7 linked regions of the Mus musculus genome follow. The protein of the gene in region 1 interacts with the protein of each later gene in a pairwise test. Links are inferred from orthologs where the notes say so. Each region holds a gene or a part of one and is shown in the gene's direction. Other genes may lie near its edges.

Region 1 (4,229 bases):
GAAAGAGTCAAAACGGTTCTAGTGCCAGAAGGCATTATTGAGGGGAAAGCACAGAAGAGATGATTAAGAGCATCAGACAGGGTCCATCCCATAATCAGCCACCAAACACAGACACTATTACATATGCCAGCAAGATTTTGCTGAAAGAACCCTGATATAGCTGCCTCTTGTGAGGCTATGCCAGTGCCTGGCAAATACAGAAGTGGATGCTCACAGTCAGCTATTGGATGGAACACAGGGCCCCCAATGGAGGAGCTAGAGAAAGTACCCAAGGAACTGAAGGGGTCTGCAACCCTATAGGTGGAACAACAATATGAACTAACCAGTACCCCCAGAGCTCATGTCTCTAGCTGCATATGTAGCAGAAGATGGCCTAGTCGGCCATCATTGGGAAGAGAGGCCCCTTGGTATTGCAAACTATATGCCCCAGTACAGGGGAACGCCAGGGCCAAGAAGTGGGAATGAGTGGGTAGGGGAGCAGGGCGGGGGGAGGGGGGGTATAGGGAACTTTTGGGATAGCATTTGAAATGTAAATGAAGAAAATATCTAATAAAAAATAATTTAAAAAAGAGCGTCAGACAGGGGACTGAACAGCTCTTGACTAGGGGAGAAGAAGGCAATGTAGAGTAGTCTGTGAGTTCTAATCCTTGCTAAACACTGACTTCACCTGACCCCTACTACTTAAGGCCCCCCCCCTTACTTAAGAAGTCCCTGTGTTCTCTTACTTCAATCTACCCCCAACATCATGAGACCTGGTCAAAGAAGCTGTAGAAACCCAAAAGTTGAATCCATTTGCCCTTCTGGGTTTCTGTCTTTGCCTCCATGGACGATAGGGACACACACACACACACACACACACACACACACACACACACGCCCCAAATCTGGAGTGGTCCTGATGTGGTAGTGGTAGGTCTTTAGGGGTCTCATGGGACTGACATAGTATGGTTTAAGGTGCTGCTGAGCAGGAAAGAGAAGGCTAAGTGGATTTTCAAGACCCCTTCCCGTCCGTCCAAGACAACCCCTTTCTTGTTCCCTTCCTGCCCTGTCCACCAGCTGCCTTGGACCATGGAGGAGAGAGTAGGCAGGAGGCCCGGGTAGGAGTAATTGAAAGGAGCAGATGAGACGGGGGAATGCACCCACCCCCACCTTCCCTGCCCCACAGGGGCTGTGGAGAAATGAAAACTAATCAAATTACAGCCGACGGCCTCCCGACCCGTGCACAGGAGCCGCCTGGGCCAGGGGCAGGCCTGCAGGGTGGGGTGGGGGCAAAAGGAGAGGGAAGGGGAATCACATGTAATCCACTGGAAACGTCTTGATGTGCAGCAACAGCTTAGAGGGGGGCTCAGGTTTCTGTGGCGTTGGCTATATTTATCTCTGGGTTCATGCCAGCAGGGAGGGTTTAAATGGCACCCAGCAGTTGGTGTGAGGGGCTGCGGGAGCTTGGGGGCCAGTGGCAGGAACAAGCCTTTTCCGACCTGATGGAGCTGTATGAGACATCCCCCTATTTCTACCAGGAGCCCCACTTCTATGATGGGGAAAACTACCTTCCTGTCCACCTTCAGGGCTTCGAGCCCCCGGGCTATGAGCGGACTGAGCTCAGCTTAAGCCCGGAAGCCCGAGGGCCCCTGGAAGAAAAGGGACTGGGGACCCCTGAGCATTGTCCAGGCCAGTGCCTGCCGTGGGCATGTAAGGTGTGTAAGAGGAAGTCTGTGTCGGTGGACCGGAGGAGGGCAGCCACACTGAGGGAGAAGCGCAGGCTCAAGAAAGTGAATGAGGCCTTCGAGGCCCTGAAGAGGAGCACCCTGCTCAACCCCAACCAGCGGCTGCCTAAAGTGGAGATCCTGCGCAGCGCCATCCAGTACATTGAGCGCCTACAGGCCTTGCTCAGCTCCCTCAACCAGGAGGAGCGCGATCTCCGCTACAGAGGCGGGGGCGGGCCCCAGCCCATGGTAAGTGGCTAGTACACCAGATCCAGGGATAGGGCCAGAGGGAGGTGCCTGGTCAGCCCCGGGCCACCAGAGCTAGAACAGGTGCAAAGCAGGGCCCTTGGGATCCCTGGACCCCTTTCCTTGTCGGCTAGACTGTCCAGTGGCCTTCTGGGCTCATACTGTTTCCAAAATACAGATGGGGTAGGGTGGACTGGCACAGGAGAACAGAAGGGGCCCGGAAACAAGCCTGCAGTAAGGGCTTTGGTGAGCCTAGGTGAAAATGAGGGAAAAGTGGCCTAAGAAACCTGCTTTGTCCCAAGTCCACAGCCTTCATTTTTGACCTGACGAAACACATTAGAATGCCCACAGGCCTGCTCAGGAGCCACCGTAACAAAATACTGTGGTTTATCACCCTCACCGCCGAAATGAAAGCAAAGTTCTCATCCTAGAAGCTAGGAAAGACCTAGAAGTAGGATGTCTATGGTAACATTCTAGGGTAGGCAACTGACCCTGTAACCCAGGCAGAGAGAAATACCTGAGACTGGCAGTAGACTTGACCTTGGACCTTGGCCTTGTCTTGCATGCAGGTGCCCAGTGAATGCAACTCCCACAGCGCCTCCTGCAGTCCGGAGTGGGGCAATGCACTGGAGTTCGGTCCCAACCCAGGAGGTAAGTGAATCCTGACCCTGGTAACATGGCTCAAATCCCTTAGTCCCTACCTAGGCTGGGCTTGTACCCTTACCATAAGCCCTGTCCCAATCACCCTTCAGCAGCTTTTCTAGGAACTTGCTGACCTGAGGGCCCCAAATGGTGGGCTGGAGACCCTGTGCCTCCCGGTAGCCTTGACCAGCTAAAGAGTAGTCAGAGCCTCCAGCAACTTCCCTGCTGGTCTCTGACCTCAGAGAGAAGAGCCTGCTCCTGCCCCAGGGGTCCCTGGGGATCACTCAGTCAGTGTTGTAAAACTGTGCCCTGTGCCCTAGGATATCCTGGCTTCACCTAGGGATAGCCACTTTTAAAACCCCACAAGCACACACACAGCATGGGGAGTACTAGTGTCCTGGGGGCGGGGAACACTCCTGAGTCTTCCTTACCCATTTTGTCCTGGAAAATCTGTGTCAAGGGTCCCATACCAGTTGCCCAGGAAACATTCTCCCACTTTTTCTTGCAGATCATTTGCTCGCGGCTGACCCTACAGACGCCCACAATCTGCACTCCCTTACGTCCATCGTGGACAGCATCACGGTGGAGGATATGTCTGTTGCCTTCCCAGACGAAACCATGCCCAACTGAGATTGTCTGTCAGGCTGGGTGTGCATGTGAGCCCCCAAGTTGGTGTCAAAAGCCATCACTTCTGTAGCAGGGGGCTTTTAAGTGGGGCTGTCCTGATGTCCAGAAAACAGCCCTGGGCTGCCACAAGCCAGACTCCCCACTCCCCATTCACATAAGGCTAACACCCAGCCCAGCGAGGGAATTTAGCTGACTCCTTAAAGCAGAGAGCATCCTCTTCTGAGGAGAGAAAGATGGAGTCCAGAGAGCCCCCTTGTTAATGTCCCTCAGTGGGGCAAACTCAGGAGCTTCTTTTTTGTTTATCATAATATGCCTCGAATTCCACCCCCCACCCCCAAAATGAAACCGTTTGAGAGACATGAGTGCCCTGACCTGGACAAGTGTGCACATCTGTTCTAGTCTCTTCCTGAAGCCAGTGGCTGGGCTGGGCCTGCCCTGAGTTGAGAGAGAAGGGGGAGGAGCTATCCGGTTCCAAAGCCTCTGGGGGCCAAGCATTTGCAGTGGATCTTGGGAACCTTCCAGTGCTTTGTGTATTGTTTATTGTTTTGTGTGTTGTTTGTAAAGCTGCCGTCTGACCAAGGTCTCCTGTGCTGATGATACCGGGAACAGGCAGGGAAGGGGGTGGGGGCTCTTGGGGTGACTTCTTTTGTTAACTAAGCATTGTGTGGTTTTGCCAATTTTTTTTCTTTTGTAATTCTTTTGCTAACTTATTTGGATTTCCTTTTTTAAAAAATGAATAAAGACTGGTTGCTATCAGAGCATCTGCAATGATATTATCAAGAGGGGAGCCACCAAAACTCTGCACCTTTCCCTTGGAGGTCCAAATGGGAGTGGGGGGGTGTGGATCATGTGAGTGGAGCTGGAGTCCTGAGCTGGTTGTTAGACGCAGGAGCCAAGTGCCGCACAGCTTGGGGGAAAGACCGGATTCCTTAGAAACCCTGGGCCCACAGAGGCAGGCCTGTAAAATACTCTGTTTGTTGTACTTTCAGTCAGACGTCATTCACAGTTCCA
Region 2 (4,188 bases), about 96 Mb from region 1:
CCAGGGCCAGGGGAGGCGAGGGAGCCGTTCCCGGCCCGCCCCACCCGGGCTCTCCGGGCCCGGCTCGCACTCACCTGGGCCGTAGGCCTGGCTTAGCAGCGCCCGAGCCCGGCCCCACACCGCCCGGACCCCCAAACGACCTCCGAGCCCCTCAGCCCCACGCCTCGGACCCCAGCCCGAGCCCCGGCCGCGGGACGCGCCCCGTCGAGGCTCGCCCATCCAGGGCCCCGCGCGACTCCCGGAGGACCCCCGGCCCGAGCCCCGCCGCCTACCTGTCTTCGCTCTTGTTTTTCTGTTTCTTCCCCATCGCTTGTCAACGGCGCTCGCGGCCCCGGCCCCTCGGTTCGGTGTCTCACAGACCCACTGTCTCCCGGCTGACTCCAATGCCCGCTCGGCTCGGTCCCCCTCGCGCCGCCGCCTCTCGCACCCGGCTCTCCACAGACCCGCGCACTGGGACAGGGCACATATGGTGTGAGCCCTCAGTACGCAAGCGCATCGCCCCGCCGCCTCGGCGTGGGGACGCAGGGCGCGGCTCATCGAGAGCGGCGCTTCGGCTAGAGCGTCTCCAGTAGAGCCGCCGGCCAGGTGGGAACCCAGGCGCCCCCTCGCCGCAAGTGAGCGCCGCGCACCGACGTCCGGCGGATCCCGGGTTCTAGAACCTAGAGGACGACAATGAGGCCGTTCATTTCTCACGTCGGCACCCTTCCCGGGGCTGGCTTTCGACGCAGAAGTGGGACTGAAAATTCTCCCCTGCCTACGCGGCCTCAGCTGCGGGAAGTCCATTACAGGACCACAAAGAGTCAATGATGAGCGTTCTGGGGGTGGCAGGACAAAAAATGGGATCCCTCTCAGAAACACTCATGAATTGTCAACTGTGTACATTTATTAAGGGGAAAAAGACATAAGGACACAGCAACGGGTCCCCTAATATGAATCTTCGTATGAGCAAGTTCTAAAAATTCATGTGCCTAAGAAAGTCAGGAGGGAAGATCCTGGCATGGTGAAAATTTTCTCCATGTTTCGGGGCGATGTTACTAGTGTGAGCTGTGTATAAATTATAATGTACTGTAAGCTACACTTTCGAAACTATTAAACACAACGAGAAATGAAGCCCCTCTGTCACTCAGGCTCAAGACCCGGCTCGTTTCCCGGTAGAGCCGGGACCCGCAGTCAGTGCACAAAGAACTACAATTCCCAACGTGCCTAGCGCCCATCCCTCCGGCCATTAGCCCACGTGAAGCGTAGGCTCGGAAGCCAGTAGTTCCGGGTGGCGGAGGATAGGGCTTCTCCGAGGCTTTCGTCACTCGCCACCGCCCTTTCCGCGAGTGTCTCACATTGTATCGCGAGAGGACTGTAGCCAATGAAGTGGCGGAGTTAACAGCCCCTTCTCTGCCCTTAACAATTGCTGCGAGGTTGAAACCTGTGTGAACCCGGTGGGTATTCTTGATCTGCGGCTTCCTCTCTCCGTAGGCCTCATCAATAGTCCAGGTACGGCTGAGGGTGATGTGGCCGATAGTGCCACAGCGTCCCAGTGTTGATGAAGGACACATCCTCGGCTGGGATCGAGGGAGCGGCTGGGAGGGCCTCGTCTGGGCGGCTGCGGAGGCTACGGCGCATGCGCCCCAGTTAGTGCGAAATCGGGTCCCCCCGGAACTACTCCACCAGTCTCTTGAGCTCAGGGAGTGGCGAAGAGTCTGCTGACAGGTACATGGGGTTAGGGTTTCGGTTAGGAGTTTGTAGGGGAGTACATAGGTGTCAGGGCCCCCAGTTCGTCGGTAAGAATAATACTCGATTTGGTTCAATAAATAGAAAGTTATGTCCTTACCCCCAATATAAAGGCAGTGACCACCTCCGCCTAATTCAGGGCAGCACTTTTAGTCGCGTGAAGCTCCGCATTTAAACGTAAAGGTCTCCTGTGAAATTCTCGGTGATAAACGAATACTGTGATGCAGATTCTGAGTGGCTGGTCTCGGATCCTTCTCTCTCTTCCCCGAGTTAGGGATCCTGGGAGTACAGCTTCTTTTCAGTTGTATAGTATTTATGAGAAGCTGACAGTTGGAGTTTTTAAATGACCTTATGTAGCCCAGGCCTATCGCTCCAAATATGAGGTGTGACCCTTATGCTTCTGCCCTTGAGAGCTGAGGTTGTAATCATGAGCCACCATGCCCAGGCTTATTTTGTGTGTGAGCTGATTAGTTTTAGCTGTCAACTTGATAGAATAATCTACGGTCACCTAGGAAGAAAGACTCATTGAGAAATTGGGTAGATTAGGTTGGCCAGTGGGCATGGCTCAGAGAGTAGGGATTGTCTTGGTTGCATTAATTAATCTACTCCCAGATTAATGTTGTTCTCCAGCAGATGTTGGACACAAGTAGACGTGTGTGTAATTACTTCTCTCTGCTTCAAGAGCCTGCCTTTAGTCGTAGAAGCGATGGGCTGTCACCTGGACTTGTAACGTTTATGTCAGGATATTTTTGAGGAAGTATGCCGAAAAGCAAGCTAGTGTATTTAGGGATTTCCCTGGATTCTGGAACCATAAATGAGATCTTTGATGGTTTACATCTTTATTCTGGTTTTGGCAGGTGTTGGGGCCTACATGCTGAGTTCTAAGGCCAAAATAGTGCCTCCAACATGGCATCTGTTGTGTTAACCTCTCAGGCTCTGTTACAGAGACCCTGTTTTAAAAAAAAAAAAAAAAACAACAAAGCCCCCGAAATGTAAACTTAATACTTATTTTTTATGCCCCCTCCCCCAGCACCAAGACCACTTAGAACAATGGAAGGTAATGGATCCGTCGACATGTTCTCAGAAGTCCTGGAGAACCAGTTCCTCCAGGCCGCTAAGCTGGTGGAGAATCACTTGGACTCTGAAATTCAGAAACTGGATCAGATTGGTGAAGATGAACTGGAGCTGCTCAAAGAAAAGAGGCTGGCGGCGCTCAGGAAGGCTCAGCAGCAGAAACAAGTAACCTCCCGCCCGCCCGCCTGCTCACTGAATCACTGGAGCCCAGCTCCCGACTGCACTGCAGTCATGTGACTTTCCCTCCTCACTTGCAGGATGTTCTGAATTCACATCTCCGTCAATGTTCAATACTTAACCCAGGGATGAAACATTAGGGAAGGTTTAGGCAAGATGAAGCATTTGACTGGGGCGTTGATAGTAAAAGAGAGATGAAACGTCTTCTCATAGACCAAGCTTAGGGTCCACGTATCAGAAAGAAGTATCATGGTTCTGTACGAGAAGATATTTAAGTGTTAGACTCTGCATTTTTATTAGGTTATCTTTTGTGGGGGGGCAGGACAGGAGCAGGATCTCACTGTATAGCCATGACTGGCCTAGAACTCACAGACAACACCGCTTCTGCCTACGAAGTGCTGGAGTTGAGCGCCAGCACCCCTGTTCTGTTTGTGGTTTTCATGGCCACTCAGTGACGTGGTTGGTTTGTCACACTGACTTACAAGAGAGAAGGTGAAGGCTCGGAAGGTTCATTAGAACCCTGGTCAGTTAATGCTGGGGTGGGTGTTGCCACTGCTGCCTGAGGAGGGAGAGTGAGCATCTGTTTGAGGTGTCAAGCTTTCTGCCACAGGAAAGGTAGAAGGGGCTGGAAGAGTTCCCAGGATTGTGGGTAATGGCCCTTCCTCAGCCTGGGAAGCTGAACGTTTCCTTGTGAGGCTTTTCCTTGGCTCTGGACCCCACATGGATATAATACTCTTCCTTCTGAGGACTCTGCCCACTGTTGGCTGGTGTAGAAGCCCTCCCTGTTTTGAGATGGATAGGTTCTTAAGCTCCTGAGCGGTGATGACTGCACTGTCCCCAGGATAGACGGACTTTATTTCTTGAGGTGGTTTGGTTTGTTTAGTTTTTGCTGTGGATAGGACATTGTTTCTAAGTATACCATGCTCAGTCTGTATAATGTTGCTTGTGTGTACATTTTCAAGGCTGACCGTTCGGTAGTGGATAGCCAGTTGGTGTGCTCTCCCTGGAGAACACTCTTTCTCCCACACTCAGCATCCCTTAATTGTCTGTAAGAACATTATTTTCTAAAGTGTAGAGCTCTTCCCTAGCCTGCTCTTCCTGGTTTAGTCCCTCGCATCACAAAATAAACAGAAAAACACTTTTGTAATCATTTGGATCAAACAATCCTGATTTTACTAGTTTAAAGAGCATGCATGTGAAAGTTAAATTGGT
Region 3 (4,244 bases), on another chromosome or scaffold:
GGTGGCTCAGTGGGTAAGAGCACTTGCAGTCAGGCCTGGCATCCTTCCACACACGTGATGTATTGGTACCATTACATACATACACATATAAAATAGAAATACATTTAAAAAAAAATTTTAAAAAAAGCCAGGCGTGGTGGCACACACCTTTAATCCCAGCACTTGGGAGGCAGAGGCAGAGGCAGGCGGATTTCTGAGTTCGAGGCCAGCCTGGTCTACAAAGTGAGTTCCAGGACAGCCAGAGCTATACAGAGAAACCCTGTCTTGAAAAACAAAAACAAAAACAAACAAACAAAAAAACATGGGTTTTGTTTTTCTTGTGTATGCATTACAGTACTCTCTCTGACATTAGCTCGGATGTGGGTCTCTTGTTTGCTTCTTTGTGTGTTATCTAACTGTCCTGAGAGCATCCAGGGGATTCTTCTCTCCATCTTCCTACTCACAGGAGCCTAAGATTAGACTCTTGCATTACCATGCCTCTTTACAGGTGTTCTGAGAATTTGACCTTGTGTCCTTGCACATCAGGGTTTGGCTTCGCACCCTGGAACAAGTGACTGAGGTGCATATTTTACCCGTCAAAGCAGACCTGGCCTCCAGGTTCTCCCAGCATCCTTCAGTCCCCACCTGGCATGCTCTGCCTCCACCCTGAACTTTCCAGCCCAGAGGCTGGGCTGCCCTTCCCCAAGAGGTTCTTCCCTATAGAATCCAGACATTTTGCTCTTGCTCTCTGGATCGATCTATCTCCCTCCCCCTGCCCCAGGCCCTTTCTCTTCTCCCTCTCTGCCCTTCCCATGGCGGTTCCCCGGCCTCTGTTCTTAAGGCCAGTGAACTCACCTGAGAGCAGCTTCCCAATAAACCTGCCTTTTAATATATTCTAATCTGTCTTGAATTGGCTCATTTTACCAGCAGAGAAATAACCTATCAGTCGTCTTGCATGCTTGAGTCACCTCCCTAGCCATTTTGTTCATGTATAGATGTACAACTTTTTAATGGTTTTTTTTAAGGTTTCATTGTATTCCTATGTATTTTAAAAATTATTTTTATGTATAAGGATGTTTTGCTTGCATGTATATTTGTGCACCATGTGAATACCTGGTGCCCTCAGATACCAGGAGAGAGTTTCCTCAGAAACTGAAGCTAAAGATGTTAGGCATCATATGGGTGCTGGGAATACAATCCAAGTCTTACATAAGAACAGCCAGTGCTCTTATCCCCAATGCCGTATCTCCAGCCCCGTATGTAAGTTTAACCAAGTCTCTATCGATCATTGCCTAATGCGTTATTTTTAGCAGTTATAAATAACGTTGGCATGAATGACCCTGTACATTTAATTTTTGTGCTGTATATCTTGGGGATTTCAAGAGTATAGGACCAATGCATTTTGGCGCCGGTGTGGTTAGAAAACACAGGCCAGGAGAGTTCCGGCCTCCGGTCAGCAGGTGGCGCTGCGCCCGCGACTAGCCGGAAGCGCCGATTGCCCCGCCGACAAACTGCTGGTGGCCGCGCAGGCGCGCTGTGCGGCTGGCGCGGGAGCCTGGCGGAGGGTCGCGATGCCGTACGCCAACCAGCCAACAGTGCGGATCACGGAACTCACCGAAGAGAACGTCAAGTTCATTATCGAGAACACGGACCTGGCGTAAGGCGGCGAGGGGAGAGGCGGGCGGGCGGCCGGGTCCTCGAGCTCCTGACCCCGGGGCTGTGGCTTCGGGGCCGCTCACACCGCCTGTCTTTCCTCCTGTAGGGTGGCCAATTCCATTCGGAGGGTCTTCATCGCAGAGGTGCCCATAATAGGTAAGCGACCGTCCCTGGGAGCCCGTGCCGCCCACCCTCCGCCCGGGGTGGGGGCTGAGAACACTGCGGTGCTGTACGCTGGGCTGGGGCAGCCTAGGCCCGCCTTGGTGCGTGCCTTGCTCAGCTGCGGGTTTCCCAGTACTGTTCGTCTACCCCAAAGCAACAGAAATCAAAACCAAGCACTGTTAAACAGCGGAGGGCTGCAGCCTCCTCATCCGGGCGGTGTAGATGCTAGGCGTCGTTAGCAGGTGATGCAGCGATTGCCGAAGTAGTGTAGATGATGCGCTTTTGCTTTGACGTCAGTGTTCGCTACTGGCTGGTGTCTTTTGAACATATATGCTGATTTTACAAAATCATGGGCTTCGTTATGTAGTTTGAAATCTACACACACAGAGTGTACCTGGTCTCTCCCATCCTTCCAGATAGTACCCTGCTATACTTTCTTGTCGTCTCCCCCTATCTTTTTGAAAACCTTTATTTACATATATGTGTCTATCTCTGGGCTCGAGTACCGGAGTTCATGTGTAGAGGTCAGAGTACAGCTTGTAGGAGGGATTCTCTTCTCCCACCATATGGGGCCCAGGATTGAACTCCTTAAGGCTTGACAACAAAAAGTATCTTGCACATCTTGCAGGCTCCGAACTTTCTCTTTATTAAAGAGAGAAAGAGAAAAAGAGAGAGATTCCACATGAGAGAAAGCATGTGTTATAAAGATTTTCTAATTTTGTTTGTTTGTTTGTTTTTCAAGACAGGGTTTCTCTGTGTAGCCCTGGCTGTCCTGGAACTCACTTTGTAGACCAGGCTGGCCTGGAACTCAGAAATCTGCCTGCCTCTGCCTCTGCCTCCCAAGAGCTGGGATTAAAGGCGTGCACCACCACTGCCCGGCTTAAGATTTTCTTTAACAAACAACATACTTTTGTTCCTTATTGTTGAAGTGTGTGTGTGTGTGTGTGTGTGTGTGTGAGAGAGAGACAGACAGACAGACAGACTTCGGTTTTTTGTTTTTTTAAATCCATCCTGGTGTCTTTTTAAAAATGAATTTCTTATTTCTGCTGCATATGTAAATCATGTACGTTTTCAGTTAGAGACAAGACATGAGCAAACATAACAAGGCAAAATATGACACCTTCAGGAGAATCTGACCAGTTTTATCGTTTGTTTGTTTGTTTGTTTTGAGAGAGGAAGGAGGCCAAAAGGGAGTGGAGCGTTTGTAAACATGGACACTCGAGGTTTTCTGAGATGGGGAATTCCCACCAGGGGTCGGGGAATGGGAATGGTGGAAGTAGATTAAGGGCATTCAATGGGCCCCAGAAGTAAATCATCAGGAAGCTTGGTCCTTGCTTGAGTTGAGGAAGCACTGCGGTGAAGGGCAGGTTGGGCCTATCCTCAGCTGGTCTTCCGGCCTCTTCCTGGCCTACATCAGCTCCTTGAGAACTGGGTTTCCAACACCACTGATTTCTGAACATTATTGTTTACATGCAGGTGTTTGCTGATGGGTGACTAGACACATGCTTAAGTGCAGCATCTGTATGCTACAGCCCCATTTGCCCAGCAGTGCCTGGGGGGGGATTGGGTTCTATTGTTAGTGGGCTTTCCCTGGTGAAGCTGTCCAGTGAACATCTACTGATGAGAGGAACACTGAAATTCCAAGTGGGCTATCTGGTTATATCACAAACGAGGTGTGGGCCCTGAAACTTGGGATGTTTTGCTGTTGTGATGTTTTCCCTGACTTTTAAGTTTTTAAAATTGTGTCTCTGTGTGTGGGTGTTTACCAGTGAATGCAGGGGCTGGAGGTGGCCAGGGGTCTCAGATGCCCCTGGAGTTGGAGTTACAGGGGTTGTGAGCTGCCTGACATGGGTGCCAGGAACCTCAGAACTGCGGAGCCATCCCTCCAGCCCATGGTGTCCAGATAGCTTTCGTTCTTGGGTTTGGGATTGGCACAGGTAGCAGATTTAAAGTAATCCTTAGATAAGTATTCAACTCCTTAAATATCCCAAAAAGCTCTAAGAGAGAGTATGTGCATGCATGTGTGGTGTATCACTAGCAAGGCCCATCCCCCACTGGGGCAGGAAGGTGTTATGTATGGCGTGTGGGATGCCTGAACCTGGAGCCATCACTTTGAAGTCACTTTGAGCCTCTTGCAGCCTGGTCAGGACACCTTCAACTTTGTAAGCTGAATTGATGCTTGCTTGCTTGCTTGCTTGCTTTTTTTTTTTTTTTTTTTTTTTTAATTTTTGTTTTTGTTTGGTTGGGTTTTGTTTGTTTGTTTTGTTTTTTGAGACAATGTTTCTCTGTGTAGCCCTGGCTGTCCTGGAACTCACTTTGTAGACCAGGCGCTGGCTCTGCTCCCTGAGCGCCGGGCAGAGTGGAGACAGTGCTGCTGCAGGTCTGTAGATGTGTCTGGTGACTAGTCCTCACTTACCCTGTTTTGTTGCTGCCTTTTCCAGCCATCG
Region 4 (3,832 bases), on another chromosome or scaffold:
CGGGTTTTATCTTTTTCCACCTTTACAGCCTTGTCCAGGCCTGTCGGGTTGAAGGCCAGAGGTCAGGTTCTGGAGCACTGTGGTTAATGAGTAACTCTGACCCCCAAATCAACAGACCACCGCAGACGTCAAGTCAGGAGAAAGATACGTGTAGGCTAGCCACTCCAGAGCCGTACAGCTGCCTGACCACACAGGGAAAACAGACCACAAGCCCCTTAGCCGGGGGACTTCTGGCTGTCAGCCCGGGTGTGGCCTGCCGCCCGCCCCACTGCCTAGCTGAGCTCAGCGTGACTCAGCAGAACTGGCCTTGCTACCCCTTCCACTAAGGGCCTCAGCAGCACATTCTTCCTGCTCCGCGTGGCTCCCTTGACCCATCTTACTGTTTCTTCCTTTAGCCCCTTTTCATGATTGGGCTCGTTTCCCTTTGCTCTCTTCCCAGGCTTCTGAGATTAGACCCTGGTATGAGCCCGTCCTGTCCTCAAAAGTCCAGTTGGGCCTTGCATGCCCCAACTGTTCTGCGTAAGACTGACTGTCTGTTTCTGGGTCCTGAGTTCTTGCTCTCCCTAACTCTCGGGCCTTTTGATTCCAAAAGAGCAACCTGCAAGGAGGCTTCTGGACCAAACTCCAGGAAGGAGCCCAGCAATTCTCCAAGCGCCATCATGCGTGTCTGTTTCTAGAAAGACAGGTTCACTGACACAGACCCAGACAGACAGGCTGACCAGAACTCCAAAGTCCTGTCTGGGCCTCCACATGTCACCTTCCAGAGCACCCGAGGGAGGTGCACACACGGTAACCCAAGGCTCTCTGCCCACTCCAAGCCCTCAAAGGGCTTCACGACCTCCTGGGTTACAGAAAACAGAAAAACAAGCAAACAATCTTAGTTCCTATGGTGAACCTAAAACCCTATACTTCTGGGCATCCCTTCCATTCCCTCAAGGAGATCTCTAGAATCTTTGGAATACCAGACTTCCTCATGACGTGACATATCCCTTCATTGTGTGCAATTGGACATATGGAGGTTCCCTTTGCATTTACAGACATTACCCCACACTCAGCCCATCCCCAGATCCATGTTCTCAGGCCCCAAAATTCTCTTTTGTGAGACACCCAGAAAAGGACCTCGAAGTCATCCCCTCCCCAGGGTCTCAGTGACCCGGAGCCCAGAACCCTGCGACCCCTCCAGGTTGCGCCTCCGGATCCGGACCACCGCCCCTCCCCCAAGCCTCCATTTCACAAGGCCTCGCGCTCCAGTCCCGTGACTTCATCTCATGGGACTGGGTGGGTGGGGAGCGAGGTTCCCCTCAGCTCCGGATTGGTCAAGTATACTTTTCCGTCTCCGCCTCACGCCACCGCCGATTGGTTAGTCTCGGGCCTGGGGCACCCCTCCCTCCGGAGGGTCAACATGCTATAAAAGGAGCGCTCCTTGCCCGGGACTTAGAGCAGCGCCTTGGAGGTCCCGTGGATCTGTGTCTTGCTTCAACAGTGTTTGAACGGAACAGACCCGGGGATTCCCACTGTACTCGCTTCCAGCCGCCTTTACAAGTCTCTCCAGTCGCAGCCTCCGGGACCATCTCCTCGCTGCCTTCAGCTCCTAGGACCAGTCTGCACCGTCTCTTCGCGGTTAGCTCCTACTCCGGATCAGCCATGACCTCTCAGATTCGTCAGAATTATTCCACCGAGGTGGAAGCTGCCGTGAACCGCCTGGTCAACTTGCACCTGCGGGCCTCCTACACCTACCTCTCTCTGGTGAGCAGCTCGGGGTTGCCTTCTGAACGGGGGGGGGGGGGGGGGGTCCATCACACCCACCCTCCTGCGCATGCGCGGGCCTTCTTTGTTCCATGCAGGGCAGAGACTGTGCTCCGACCTCTCCCTCTCCCTGCGCGCTGTGTACATAGTAGTTTTGTCTGACTGGAACTCGCTGGGCAGACCGGGCTGCCCTCGAAATCTCACACGTACTGCCTCTACCTCTTGAGTGTTGCGATTGAAGTTTACAGTGTGAGCCGAGCCACCGCGTTCCGTTAACTCGTATTTGTAACCTCCCGCAGGGCTTCTTTTTTGATCGGGATGACGTGGCTCTGGAGGGCGTAGGCCACTTCTTCCGCGAATTGGCCGAGGAGAAGCGCGAGGGCGCGGAGCGTCTCCTCGAGTTTCAGAACGATCGCGGGGGCCGTGCACTCTTCCAGGATGTGCAGGTAAGAAGCGGGGGTATTGGGCACTACCGAGCATGTGCGTTTACTTGCCATCCCCATAGTTTGGGCATCCGGATAGACGTCTTGGAAGGGAGTGGTGGCAGGACTAGTGTAGACAATAGGAGTATGTAGAGCAACTAAACCCACCAGGATGTCAGAAACTGGAAAATGGGGGTAATTACAGAATACAGATGAGGACTGCTGGGCTGGGGAGAGGCGGTGTCTCTCTAGCTAGCATGGAAATCACAATGTAGACCAGGTTGCCTCCTATCAAGAGATCCTCCTGTCTTCTCGCCCAGTCTCTCAGTGGTGGGATTAAAGACAGTATCCCATTATTTTTCCCCACTGTGCCCACTTTTCCTGTGCAGTCAGTTTTATATTGGCTGGGTGAAGGATGTAATCTAGGCTTGATATTCTTGTGTGCAGAAGCCATCTCAAGATGAATGGGGTAAAACCCAGGAGGCCATGGAAGCTGCCTTGGCCATGGAGAAGAACCTGAATCAGGCCCTCTTGGATCTGCATGCCCTGGGTTCTGCCCGCGCGGACCCTCATGTAAGTACCTTGCTAATCATTTCTTCCCTTCTCTGACAAAACCTAGACTGTTGTGTGTTGGCTTTCAGCTCCCAATAATTTAATCCTCCTGCCTCCCGAGTGCAGATTGCAGAAGCACCACACACAGTACTGAGGACACACCTACCTACCTACCTACCTGCCCTTGAGGGCAGGATTTTTTTTTTTTAAAGCTTCCTGCTCACACCTGTCTCTTAGAACTCGGTGTCTGATGTCTCTTCCTTCCTTTACAGCTCTGTGACTTCCTGGAAAGCCACTATCTGGATAAGGAGGTGAAACTCATCAAGAAGATGGGCAACCATCTGACCAACCTCCGCAGGGTGGCGGGGCCACAACCAGCGCAGACTGGCGCGCCCCAGGGGTCTCTGGGCGAGTATCTCTTTGAGCGCCTCACTCTCAAGCACGACTAGGAGGCCTCTGTACCTTCCAAGGGGCTCCCCCCTCTGCTCTGCACCAGCCCGCCCTGGGACCTCCACCTGAATGAACCTCTCAAGCCACTAGGCAGCTTTGTAACCGCCCTGGAGCCTCTGTCAAGTCTTGGACCAAGTAAAAATAAAGCTTTTTGAGACAGCAGCTGGTGTTTTTTCTATATATGTGGGAGGGGTGCACGAGAAAGAAGAGGTTGGCTGTATGTACTCCTGTTTTTTGTGGGAACCCACATGTGATAACTTACAGCGATCTCTGTGTGGTAGTATCTGCCTTTTCATGTGGCAAATCCAGGTCGTAGGAGTCTGTAGCCTGTAGCAGTTTGCCAGTCCTTGGTTTATGTTACTGTGCAGGGAAGTGAAAAGGCTTAAACATCCAAGTTCAGAAATGAGTTAAACATACAAGTAGAAGGCCAGGAGGTGAGCAAGCTGAGCCCTGGGTGCTGGCTGAGCGAGGGTGGGGAGCCAGGGTGTCTTGCTGGATTCCGAACTAGATGCTGGGCCCATCAAAAAGAGGATGTGAAACTTGGGACCATTGCCCAAATGGGAACTAAACCATTGCAAAGGGGTTAGAAACATGGGAAGTTGGTGGGGTGGGGGGTGGAACACCGGACAATACTGCTGTGTCAGCTCACACTGGTTAAAACA
Region 5 (4,156 bases), about 47 Mb from region 1:
CCCATTCGTCTAATGTAATACTTCCTCCCACCCCCACTGATCACAAAGGATTTCTTGAGTTTTACTATCTCCCCCCCCCCCATTGTTAGAAATTCTTCACAGTATGGATAGTCAAGAGGCACTGTTCAAAATAAAATAAAATAAAATAAAATAAAAAACAAACAAAGCCAGGCAGTGGTGGCACACGCCTTTAATCCCAGCACTTGGGAGGCAGAGGCAGGTGAATTTCTGAGTTCGAGGCCAGCCTGGTCTACAGAGTGAGTTCCAGGACAGCCAGGGCTACACAGAGAAACCGTGTCTCGGAAAAAAAAAAAAAAGGCCCTGTTCACCTGACCCACATTTCACATGAGCAAGCTGGGGTCCAGAGTAAGAGGAACTCTCTAGAACACTCCTTTATAGGGTTCAAATTTCCATCTCTGATCCAATCTCAGACACTGTAAGAAAGACTCCTAGCCCTGCAAATTCCTTTCGTCCTCTCTCTTCTCAAAAGCCAGAGTACTTGCAAGGCTAGGCCCAAAGCCACTGGGCTGGGTGTGACAGGAGAGCTTCCTCAGCCTCCCTTACATGCCAGGCAATAGGATGATCCCCTGAGGTCTTCCTGAGGAGAAAAAGCGTGACCTTGCTGAGTGACCAGGGGACAACCACGGGCCAGTCCTGGGACACTTTCCTCACCTGTAAATACAGGCACGAACATCAATTTCTACCCCTCCTCTCTGGTGATTAAAAATAAACATCTAACAATGTAATATGTTCAGCAGATGGGTCAGGAAAATGCGTGCCTCATAGCTCTGGAGTTACATCACCAACTAGGGAATTTATTCCTGTGTATGTGATGTGGTTTTGGACAGTCCTTAGGAGTGTGGGGACAATGACTTCAGTTGAGGAGGCAATGATGAGTGAGACCATCTCGGTCCTCAGTAAGTTTGTCACCCTGGTTCGACTCCCCCCACCCCCCACTTCACCCAATATATAGGGAAGGTCTTAATGTATCCCAGGCTGTCCTCGAACTCACTATGTTGGTTAGGCAGGTCTGGATCTTCCTGCTGCCATTTCCCAAGAGCCAGAATTGCAAGTTTGTTTGTAGTGCTCTCTCGTCCTCTCCAAACACCAAGAGCAAAGGATCAACTGCCAGAGAATACCATTTACTAAAGGTTACTATGCCTGACATTTTCCCCCTGGAATCCACGGGGAGGTTAAAGTGGATGGCCGGCAGCCTGCGTAGACAATGCTCAGTGCAAGCAGCCACACCAAGACAGCCCCGGTCGGAACAAGCGCTGTCGTCCCGGGCCACCCGTCCGGGAAAGAGGCCCCGCCCAAGGCCTGAGCACTGACGTTCCGCTGAGCGCCTCGCCAGCCAACCGGAAGTAGCCGGGCCCTTAGCGATGGGACCCGGTAGAGCGGAAGTCACTCCGTGAGGCAGTGGCGACAGCGGCGGCAAGAGGATGAACAACAAGTTCGACGCGTGAGTGGCGCGTGGCCGACCCCGGGGCCCCTTCCCCCAACCGTCCCCCGGGACCGCTCCCGCCGGGGCCGGGCGCGCCCTCAGCCGAGCCGCTCGCTCCCGGGCCGCCGCAGCCCGAGCCTTCCTGCGCCCGCGGGCCCGACGGGGCCGGGAGAGCGCGGCCGAGGTCGCCGGGACCCCTGAGCCGCTGGACCCCGGCGCGGCACGGGCCGGGGGAGGGGAGGCCGCGCCGCCCGGAAGGAGATTTTCGGACGCCCCGCCCTGGTGGGTGCGGGCTGCCGGCGGCGTGGAGGGGCGGGACCTCAGCGCTTCGGGTGTTTCCGCAGCCTTGCTGCCTTCTCTCTGAACGCGGCTTCCCTCCCGCACTCGCTCGGCGTCCTGGGAAGGTCACCTCTCCCTTCCGAGCCTCGATTTTGTCTTCTGCAAGCGGGGACGGTAACAGAGCCCGTGTCGTAGAGTTGGGCAGCTGCGATGAGGTAATGGGGCAGCCGCGCTGAGTACTGTGGCCTCTCGAGTACGGAATGCTTTTCATCTGAGATTCTTCCTGCTTCCTCCCCGACCACCACCCTCCCTTCATCCCCCACCCCGTCCCTGTCTTTCAACTCTTAGTGGCTGCCCACCCCTGCATTCATCTCCAATTCCCGCAGCGAACAGTTGGGAAGTACAGAGAAGAAATATGTGTTGGGGTGGGGGATGGGGGGGTGAGAACATTCCCCTCCTAACGATTAAATCTTTTAGCATTTAAAAGTAATTTTCGTTTTCATCTAGCCCCACTTAAGTTAGTGTTTCACAAGAATTGTATCCCTGGGTAGATTGCAGTGCTCCCTCCTCTCTATGGTTTGTAGTGATCAAATCTGGTTTATCATTCAAAGGCCTACATTTTTAGTTTTAAGCCCACCAGCTGTTTGACAGTACAAAAGTCCTCCAGTCTGAGCCATCGATCTCACCTCTGTAGTGGTTAGGACCGGAAGGACCACATCACGCTCTGCAATACTTAGAGGTACTGTGTAAAATGCTGAGCATGAGCTGTGAAGGGAAAGTGGACTCACTGATAGGTGGTGAAGCTGCAGGTTTTCAATACAGTGAGTTCAGAGGTGCAGACTCAGGAAGTACTGGGATGGGGATTCCAGTTGTACAGCCAGCTCTTCCTTAGGTTTTCATGGTGGCTGAGTGAGCTCTGCTTCTTGAGAAAAGACCTGATGTCTTCTCCACCTTGCTTATTAGCAGAGTCCAGCAGGATAGAGATCCATTGGTCTCCTGTCATAGGCCCTGCAATACCTAGCTTCATACCTGCAGCCCTTCCTCCCTTCTTCTCCTATTGGAACAAATCAAACTGCATCCTAAGAAGATAGTTTTTAGGTTGCCTGTCTTGAATAAGGATGGTTATGTTGGCCACTGTCGTCGTCACTGTTCTGTTGCTGTTGAAGAGATGCCATGACCAGGCAACTGTTTTTTTGTTGTTGTTGTTTTTGGGGGGTGGGGGTGGGGTCTGAGACAGGGTTTCTCTGTGTAGCCCTGGCTGTCCTGGAACTCACTCTGTAGACCAGGCTGGCCTTGAACTCAGAGAAATCCGCCTGCCTCTGCCTCCCGAGTGCTGGGATTAAAGGTGTGTGTCACCACTGCCCGGCCGGGCAACTCTTATGACAAGTTTTTTCTTTTTCTTTTTTACTTATTTATTTAACTAACAAGGCCACACACCTCCTAATCCTTCCTAGCAGTTCTGCTCCCTGGTGACTAAGCATTCAAATATATGAGCCTATGGTGGTCATTCTTAGTCTAGCCACTGCAGCCACCCAGAGGCATCCCTGTGGATTTGTTTCCTAACTTTTTAGGTTAGCATAGAAAGTAGCAGGTTCTATTAGGACACCTTCATACTCAGGCCATTACTTTGTTCTCCTTCTTCCCTGCCCCCACTGGACTCGCTGTGGTCCCTCTCTAGCTCGCTTTTTTTCTTCTAGCTGTCCCCCAAGTCCCTATTGCATGTATTATATTCCTCTCTATTTCCCACTAGCTTCTTCCTAATAACTCTGCAAAAGAGATCTTGGCATGTTTTCTGATAGTTAAGGAAAATGAGGCTTTTCAAGGTTAAGTAACTAGTGCAAGATAGCCTAAAGGGCCAGCTCAGGCTCACTCTTCTACTTTGTTCAAGTGTCTTTATCAACATTTGCTGGGTGGTTTAATTGTTTATAACTATGAGCTGTTGTAAAGAGTAGGGTCTTTTAATGCCCTCTTCCTCCTTCTTCTTCTTTTTTTCAATTATTTATTTTGTATATGAGACACTGTCACTGTCCTCAGACATACCAGAAGAGGCCATTAGATCTCATTACACATGGTTGTGAGCTACCATGTGATTGCTCACATTGAACTTAGGACTTGGAAGAGCGGTTAGTACTTTTAACTGTTGAGTTATCTCTTCAACCCCACCTGTCTTCTAACTTTGCAATAAAGGACAAAAATAAAAGCTTGCTTTTATTTGAAATTAGCAATTAAAATGGTACCCTTGTCCCTGGTTTTGGTTTTGTCATTTCAGATTTTCTTGTGAAAACCCTGCAGTTTGTAGAATGTTGCTCCTTATTTGGAGTCTGTACTCTTTATAACATCTCCCCAGAATTTTCCAGAATCATTCTCAAAGCGTAGTCTCCAGTGAGTGCAGTAGTATGATCTGATGGACACAGATTAAAGAGGCCCTCTAAC
Region 6 (4,104 bases), on another chromosome or scaffold:
AGTAGGGCCTGCTCTCCCCTGTCTAGGGGGTGGATCTGCAGGTCTCCCATAGCAACTGGTCCTTATGATGTCACAGTAAAGACTAGTCTTCCTGGACCTCCTAGTTTGGGAGAGTATGGTATGTCAGGGGCAAGGAGGGAGGCGGGCAAGGGAAGAGACCAGAAACCTAGGGTAAATTTGTTGATGTTAGATTCAGAGCAAGCCACATAAGACAAATTGGCTTTGGTATGCTGGAAAGTCATTCGCTAGGCTTCCTCATTTGTGGCAGGGAGAACGAGGATTTGGAGAACAAACCTGTAGAGATCTGAATCATGCTGAGAAGATGGTTCTGGGTGACACTTGTCTAATTATCCATTTTCTCATAGGTTAAGCAGTATGTAGATAATGCCAATTTTTTTCCTGTGCATTCTGACAAACTGGAACAATTATTCTGCTGGTAGAAATATAAAACTACAGGTTCTTTAGAATCTTAACTCCACCACAACTCTGTTTCATTATAGAAAATTTAGTTCTAGGTTTTACATCTAGGTGTATGAACCATTGTTTTTTACATAGATATTAATTTGCTATGGATTGCTCATTGTTTCAAAACCATTTGTTGCAAAGACTGTTCAAATGCATTGTCCCCCATGTTAGACTAGCCACGAATGTATGGCCCTACCCCACATATTTTTGTCCTTAAGTATCTACTCTTGGTCAGTACCACCGTGTTCTAGCCAAGGGCACCTTTACTTCTTGCACCTACCCATTTTCCTTATCGCCCACCCTTCCTGGCACAGCTCTCCTCTCTCCAGCCCTGCTTTTGTCGCGGTTGTCCTCGACTCGTAGCAGTCACCAAGGAGAGTTCTCTGTAGAGCCTGTGCTGACCCTGACACCCTAGGCGTGGTACACCAGCACTACCTCGCTCCACAGTTTCCAGGGCAACCTCTGGCGCGCGAGTCTGGGCGCCAATTTCCGGCTTGTCGGGAATACTGACTAGCTGTGCGTGCACAAAAGCCTTCCGGGTACAGGTCTCGAATTCTGCCCAGGGTAGGGTATCTTCGTTCCTGTCATTCTGTGGATACTTTATGAGGCTTCGACTGCGGGGTTTAGCTATGCTTTTACAAATACAAAGGAGACTCGGTCACAAAAGGTTATAATGTGCTCCATATATCAGTGAGGTAATGAGAGTTCCAACGGGACCAGAGCCAAAAGCGCTCTCTGAAAGACTATGACGTTGCGCAGCTCGCAAGGTGCTTGGCGCCACCTGTTGGTCTGTGTCCTGCGCTTGCGCTCACCACCCCTCTTCGCTTCCTGTCCTGTTTGGCCTGGTCCGCACGCTGTCCAAGGCCTCTGAGCGTTGCTATAGAGACCGGAGAGCGCTGGGCCTGCGAACTCTACAGAGACGGGCAGCGGCGCCCCAGTGGACTCTTGGGGACCAGAGCGCCATGTCTTTCCGCGACCTCCGCAGTAAGGCTGCACCCGGCTTTCCCGTGGGCTTCCCAGGATCTCGAGACTCCCCTGCCGGACCCCTGCCAGAGCCGTGGGCCCAGGCAGGCCGTGGGTCCCTGGGCCAGCCAGGGGCTGACAGAACTTTACAGCACCTTTGGAAAGTTCGGTCCGTCACTGGCCACGTGTAGCTAGAACACTGGGAATGTGTCTCGAGCCGCTGAAGAACTGAATGTTTAATTTCACCTCATTTTATCTCTGGTTGTCACGGCCACATTTGCAGCCGCATTAGAAAGGTCTTGCGGAAATGGAGACTTCTTCTGCATTTAGTTTGTAGAAAGAACCAGTAAAGCCGAGGAAGTGGCCGGATGAATGGATGGCTAGTGCTGCTAGGTTGTTTTGTTCATTTTTGAGGGTTTGTTTTGTTTGTTTGTATGTTACAATCTGTCACATGCTGTCCTCTATGTGGGCAATATTTCATTTACTCCTAGCAGGTTTGTGCCCTGGTTAGAGATGAAACAGGCAGCAAGAGGTCAAAGTAATTGAACGAGTTGCTTTAGAGTTTGAATCCAGCTTGCCTGAATGCCAAATACTGGGCAGAGAACTTGGCTAGAGAGTGGGGAAGCAGACTACTCTTACTCGTTATACTCTTTGGGGGAAACATCCTTTTTGTGGCAGGTGATTATATTTCACCCTTATTGTTCCTAGTTTTAACTGCAAGTTAAGTAGTATAGCTACCCCTGGTTCACACAGCTAGAGTGATGGGACTGTGTGACCTAAAAAATCTTACTTCACTTACAGAAGAGTAGCAGCTATTAGGGTCGTGTTGTCTAGGGTTTGAGGGTATTTGAAACAGTGTAATTATGACTGTCCCACGTAGTTTTTGATGAGGCTGGCACTTTACTGGGATCATTGAATAGTGATCATTGTACTGGAAAGAATATTTAAAAGGAGTATTTCAGAATTTATACTGATTTATATTTTTTTACCTTAAATAAATGCTGTATAGTGTGTAATCTATGAGACTGTCACCATTTATAACAGTGGAGAACTTGATAGCTACTACTTAGCTAAAAGGAGTGTTTAGGCAAAACCTGACTTTTTTCATAGAGGTATAAGGAAAAGCTGCAATATAAAGGGTATACATATATGGGATATATGTGTGTGTGTGATATAAGGGAAAGAAATAAGGGAAGGATGCTTCCTATCTTTCTACCATCTCTTCGTGACCTAGCAGAGTCTGCCTGCCCTGCTTTGTTGCCCAGATAGATTGTTTGGAATGCTGAATGTACATTTTGAATACCCGTAAGCATGAGTAGACATTACATTGCCAGGAACCATGGTCAAGATCTCAGCATATTGTAAGAACTCAGAAATGTTGGTTGTTTTCTTGCTTTCTTGCTCTCTTTTACTTGTTTTTCAAGACAAGGTTTTTTCCTGTCTTGAACAACAGCCCTGGATGACCTAGAACTTGTTTCATAGACCAGGTTAGCATCAGGTTCACAGAGGTCCATCTGCCTCTGCCTATGAGCACTGGGATTAAAGGTATGCAGCACCACGCCAGGCTTGGTTGCTCATCTGTAAGCCTCGCTTTCTTCATCATTGTTTTCTCCTTTCTTTCAAGCAGTGTGGCTTTGTTTTAGTTGCTCCCAACTTAAAATATTACTGTTTACTAATCTTTGGTTTTTCGAGACAGGGTTTCTCTGTGTAGCCCTGGCTGGCCTGGACCTCACTCTGTAGACCAGGCTGGCCTCGAACTCAGAAATCCGCCTGCCTCTGCCTCCCAAGTGCTGGGATTAAAGGCGTGCACCACCACGCCCAGCTTGTTTACTAATCTTTTTTTTTACAGTAAATCTAAATACTGCAGATAGTTCAGCCATTCTCTTATTAAATTTTCTCTGACTATAAAGTAATTGATCTTTAAAATTTATGTCATGAAAATCATATATGGTCACTGGAGGAAAAAAAACAATGTATAATCTTGTTCTAACAACGTGTTTTTCTCATGTTTTATGAGGCTAGGTAATTTTTATTTTGGATAGCAAAGAGGCAGCTACCAGAGAGAAATTAAAGCCCCAGCTAATACCTACGCCCCATTTCTCCAAAGGAAATCTACTATCGTTGAACTTGGGTGTTTTTCAGGTGATGGATTAGATATTGTTTCAAATCTCCCCTTTCCTTTCCCCATTCTAGAATTGATGAATTCAGCACCTGGAGTTGAGAAGACCTGATAAGAAAGGAAAGCATTAGATTAACTGTTTTCCAAAAGGAGATGCTATTTGACAAGGACTGACTGAACTGTGTTTTATATTGCACAGATTTCACCGAGATGATGAGAGCCTTGGGGTACCCACGCCATATTTCTATGGAGAATTTCCGCACACCCAACTTTGGGCTTGTCTCTGAAGTGCTTCTGTGGCTTGTGAAAAGGTTAGAATGCATTTTATTCACACCTTGGTGTGGATAGTTGGTTTCATTCAGTAGCTAACTGGAACTTCTAATGCAAAGGAAGGCTACAGTGAGGTTTGCATAGGATGGACTTAGCTGTAACTTATAAAGAGCTGCCACGCACGATGGTGCAAGTAGATGTCTGTTAGTTCAAGGTCAGCCTGGCCTACATAACAAGTTCCAGGAAAGCCAGGGCTGCGTAGTGAGAGACCCTGTCTCTTTCATTTT
Region 7 (2,405 bases), on another chromosome or scaffold:
TCTCATATAAGTTTCAAGAAGTTTCCGCTGCTCTAGGTTTCCACATTGACCCTCAAGCCTACCCCCAAGTTCCAGTAGTCTCTCCCTGTACTCTCTCCCTCCATTGCTTCCTCCCCAAACTGGTCTCTCCTGTTCCTTCACTACCCACCTCCAGTATACCCACATAATCTATTCTATCACCCCTTCCCAGGGAGATCCAGGCTTTACCCCTAGAGCTCTCCTTGTTACTTAAGCCTCTCTGGGTCTGTGGATGAAGCATGACTATCCTTTACAATTAAGGACCCATGAAAAAAATCAAATGTTTGATGAAATGAGTTATATAGATCTATAAGCTTTGGGAAATGCTATATCAGCAGAAATAATGTCAGATTAGATCAAAGGTGACAGAAGATGAAATGACAAAAGTCTGTGGGATTCTTAAACTTTGTGAAGAACAACAGTGTATAAGATTACTCACTCATAACCTTGTGTTACCATCACTCAAAGGATACATGATTCAAAGAAACTATTGGCGAGTCTAGAGGGAAGAGATCTGGCTATAGATAAGACCATGGAATCAATAGAGCCAGGGTAAATGGTCTCACATCTCATGAGGTTATTATTCTGCCCTGATATCCAATAAAGTTTTACATAGTTGGGTTTTAACATTTAACTAGATTGAAGATTCATTATACTTTCTTTCTCTTGGAATAGGAAAGTTATTGGGTACAAGTGAACTAAAATACAACCAAAAAGCAGAAACAAGATATTAATAGAAAGAAAAATTGAAATTAAATATCTATACTAGGGCTTGGCTTTAACCCAACTAATCCAAGAAAGCTACATCCTGACTCAAATGGCACACAAAGTACAGATACCAACATCTATGTACCAGAAGCACACTGAGCATTTCCTCTTCAAAAAAATAGATATTTTGAAGATCAGATACAACTCATGTAGATACTGAATGAATACATGTTCAAAGGTGTACAGGATTGTTAACCAAGCCGATTTAAATAAGTAAATTGAATCAAAATGGGTCTCAACACTGCTTGAAGAGGACAGTCAAACCTCTACCTGGAAATGTATTTGACATGCTTATTACTGCCCCATAATTACTGAAAGAATGGTTGTGACGACATACAGTTTCCAGTAAAACATTATTTCTACAATGTTAATTCAAGTGTAAACTGAGGAGAGCTACAGTTTCCTCAAAATCGAGGTAGGGTGGCCACATTGCTGTGATAGATATTTCTAGGCTCTGAGGCCTAGTCAGAACCCATAACCCACCAGGCACCAATGACATCTCAAAGCCTAAGATGTCATAAAGGTAGCTCCTGACCAATGAGGTGCAGAAGCTGGGGGTGCAATGGGCCTGACTGAACAGTGTCTTCAGAGAGCCAGTCCTGCTGGTGAACCAGGCAGAGCTTACCGGAGCCCAATCCATCAAACCATCATGTCGGAGAAGAAGAGCCAAGAAAAGCCTTGCAGCGACAACAACCAGATAGAAGATCCTTCTTCTAGGCCTGAGGTACAGGTTCCTGTGAATTATGTGTACCGTATACTGCAGGAGGAGCAATATACCCCCTGCATAGGGTCCACAACTTCAGATTTCCTTCTTGCCATGCTTGATTACCTCACCGACTACATCCTGGAGGTGGTGGGCTCCGAAGCCAACATCAACAACCAGCAAAATATCTCACAAGATAGAGAGAGACAGAGAGACAACGACCGCGAACCCTCTCGAGGCTTCAAGAATGCGCCTTTCTCTCTGTTTGACGAGATGCCTGGACCCAGAAGGAATGGCTAAAGAATGGGGTACACAACCCAAGGGTGGAAAGCCTCACAGACTCAGCTAGAACCATGAAGGCTAATAGCAGAGGAGGCTCCCCTGGTGTCCATGACTACTAATAAAATGTTTAAATGAAAGCTAATTGTTCTGACTTTTTTCATTTGTTTCTCCTGGGTTGGAGGTTATCCACAAGATACTAAAGAAAGAATGGAAGATGGAGGTTATGCTTAAGGAGTGCTTGTTTGAATTAAGGGAGCACTTCTCAGGGGTGGGGGGTGGCTTGGGTAGTGACCCTGGTGGGAGAAATTGGGTGGAGGGGAGGGCAGAGAAGGCTCCCTTGTTGGCTCTGAGTACAAAAGAAGCCTCAGAGAAGATCAGAAGTTGGCTGTAACCTCATTGGCAAGTTATATTTTCAGTATGGTAACTTAGAAGAAACTACTGATGAGCAGAAAATTTGCATGGAAGTCTTCTTTCATGGGAGGGAAGGTCTCAGAGGAGAAGGAAATGGGTATCGGTGAAGGGGTACAGACAGTCAGCATGAGCCACATGAGTGGGCATAAGGGACAGAGCATTCAGTTGATGATGGTGTGATGGTGAAGCCAGAAGGAAGCATCCACTTTAGAAGAGGTAAAAT

The links.
Region 2: the proteins of Myog (region 1) and Txndc9 interact in binary tests that used the Homo sapiens proteins (3 or more experiments, as listed by UniProt). The two-hybrid records come from large-scale screens. The link is inferred for Mus musculus from reciprocal best matches to the Homo sapiens genes MYOG and TXNDC9.
Region 3: the proteins of Myog (region 1) and Polr2c interact in a two-hybrid assay, tested with the Homo sapiens proteins (2 studies listed by BioGRID and IntAct). The link is inferred for Mus musculus from reciprocal best matches to the Homo sapiens genes MYOG and POLR2C.
Region 4: the proteins of Myog (region 1) and Ftl1 interact in binary tests that used the Homo sapiens proteins (3 or more experiments, as listed by UniProt). The two-hybrid records come from large-scale screens. The link is inferred for Mus musculus from reciprocal best matches to the Homo sapiens genes MYOG and FTL.
Region 5: the proteins of Myog (region 1) and Eif4e2 interact in binary tests that used the Homo sapiens proteins (3 or more experiments, as listed by UniProt). The two-hybrid records come from large-scale screens. The link is inferred for Mus musculus from reciprocal best matches to the Homo sapiens genes MYOG and EIF4E2.
Region 6: the proteins of Myog (region 1) and Cluap1 interact in binary tests that used the Homo sapiens proteins (3 or more experiments, as listed by UniProt). The two-hybrid records come from large-scale screens. The link is inferred for Mus musculus from reciprocal best matches to the Homo sapiens genes MYOG and CLUAP1.
Region 7: the proteins of Myog (region 1) and H2ap interact in binary tests that used the Homo sapiens proteins (3 or more experiments, as listed by UniProt). The two-hybrid records come from large-scale screens. The link is inferred for Mus musculus from reciprocal best matches to the Homo sapiens genes MYOG and H2AP.

What each region holds. Positions count from the first base shown.
Region 1 is NC_000067.6:134,288,575-134,292,803, forward strand, and holds Myog (myogenin), read left to right. Parts: upstream 1-1,429; 5' UTR 1,430-1,481; coding exon 1,482-1,952; intron 1,953-2,518; coding exon 2,519-2,600; intron 2,601-3,099; coding exon 3,100-3,221; 3' UTR 3,222-3,974; downstream 3,975-4,229. UniProt on the Homo sapiens protein: Acts as a transcriptional activator that promotes transcription of muscle-specific target genes and plays a role in muscle differentiation, cell cycle exit and muscle atrophy.
Region 2 is NC_000067.6:37,994,409-37,998,596, reverse strand, and holds the start of Txndc9 (thioredoxin domain-containing protein 9), read left to right. Parts: upstream 1-1,388; 5' UTR 1,389-1,488; exon of another isoform or gene 1,489-1,704; intron 1,705-2,755; 5' UTR 2,756-2,775; coding exon 2,776-2,964; intron 2,965-4,188. Other genes in the region: Eif5b (eukaryotic translation initiation factor 5B), read right to left, coding at 273-307. UniProt on the Homo sapiens protein: Significantly diminishes the chaperonin TCP1 complex ATPase activity, thus negatively impacts protein folding, including that of actin or tubulin.
Region 3 is NC_000074.6:94,856,006-94,860,249, forward strand, and holds the start of Polr2c (DNA-directed RNA polymerase II subunit RPB3), read left to right. Parts: upstream 1-1,444; 5' UTR 1,445-1,550; coding exon 1,551-1,636; intron 1,637-1,741; coding exon 1,742-1,791; intron 1,792-4,238; coding exon 4,239-4,244. UniProt on the Homo sapiens protein: Core component of RNA polymerase II (Pol II), a DNA-dependent RNA polymerase which synthesizes mRNA precursors and many functional non-coding RNAs using the four ribonucleoside triphosphates as substrates.
Region 4 is NC_000073.6:45,457,444-45,461,275, reverse strand, and holds Ftl1 (ferritin light chain 1), read left to right. Parts: upstream 1-1,389; 5' UTR 1,390-1,644; coding exon 1,645-1,746; intron 1,747-2,045; coding exon 2,046-2,192; intron 2,193-2,615; coding exon 2,616-2,741; intron 2,742-2,992; coding exon 2,993-3,169; 3' UTR 3,170-3,332; downstream 3,333-3,832.
Region 5 is NC_000067.6:87,212,558-87,216,713, forward strand, and holds the start of Eif4e2 (eukaryotic translation initiation factor 4E type 2), read left to right. Parts: upstream 1-1,356; 5' UTR 1,357-1,442; coding exon 1,443-1,462; exon of another isoform or gene 1,463-1,933; coding exon of another isoform or gene 1,934-1,938; intron 1,939-4,156. UniProt on the Homo sapiens protein: Recognizes and binds the 7-methylguanosine-containing mRNA cap during an early step in the initiation. Acts as a repressor of translation initiation.
Region 6 is NC_000082.6:3,907,705-3,911,808, forward strand, and holds the start of Cluap1 (clusterin-associated protein 1), read left to right. Parts: upstream 1-1,304; 5' UTR 1,305-1,427; coding exon 1,428-1,449; exon of another isoform or gene 1,450-1,796; coding exon of another isoform or gene 1,797-1,821; intron 1,822-3,222; exon of another isoform or gene 3,223-3,570; intron 3,571-3,746; coding exon 3,747-3,858; intron 3,859-4,104. Other genes in the region: 1700037C18Rik (uncharacterized protein C16orf90 homolog), read right to left, coding at 746-749. UniProt on the Homo sapiens protein: Required for cilia biogenesis. Appears to function within the multiple intraflagellar transport complex B (IFT-B). Key regulator of hedgehog signaling.
Region 7 is NC_000086.7:9,845,596-9,848,000, forward strand, and holds H2ap (huntingtin-interacting protein M), read left to right. Parts: upstream 1-1,351; 5' UTR 1,352-1,435; coding exon 1,436-1,789; 3' UTR 1,790-1,905; downstream 1,906-2,405.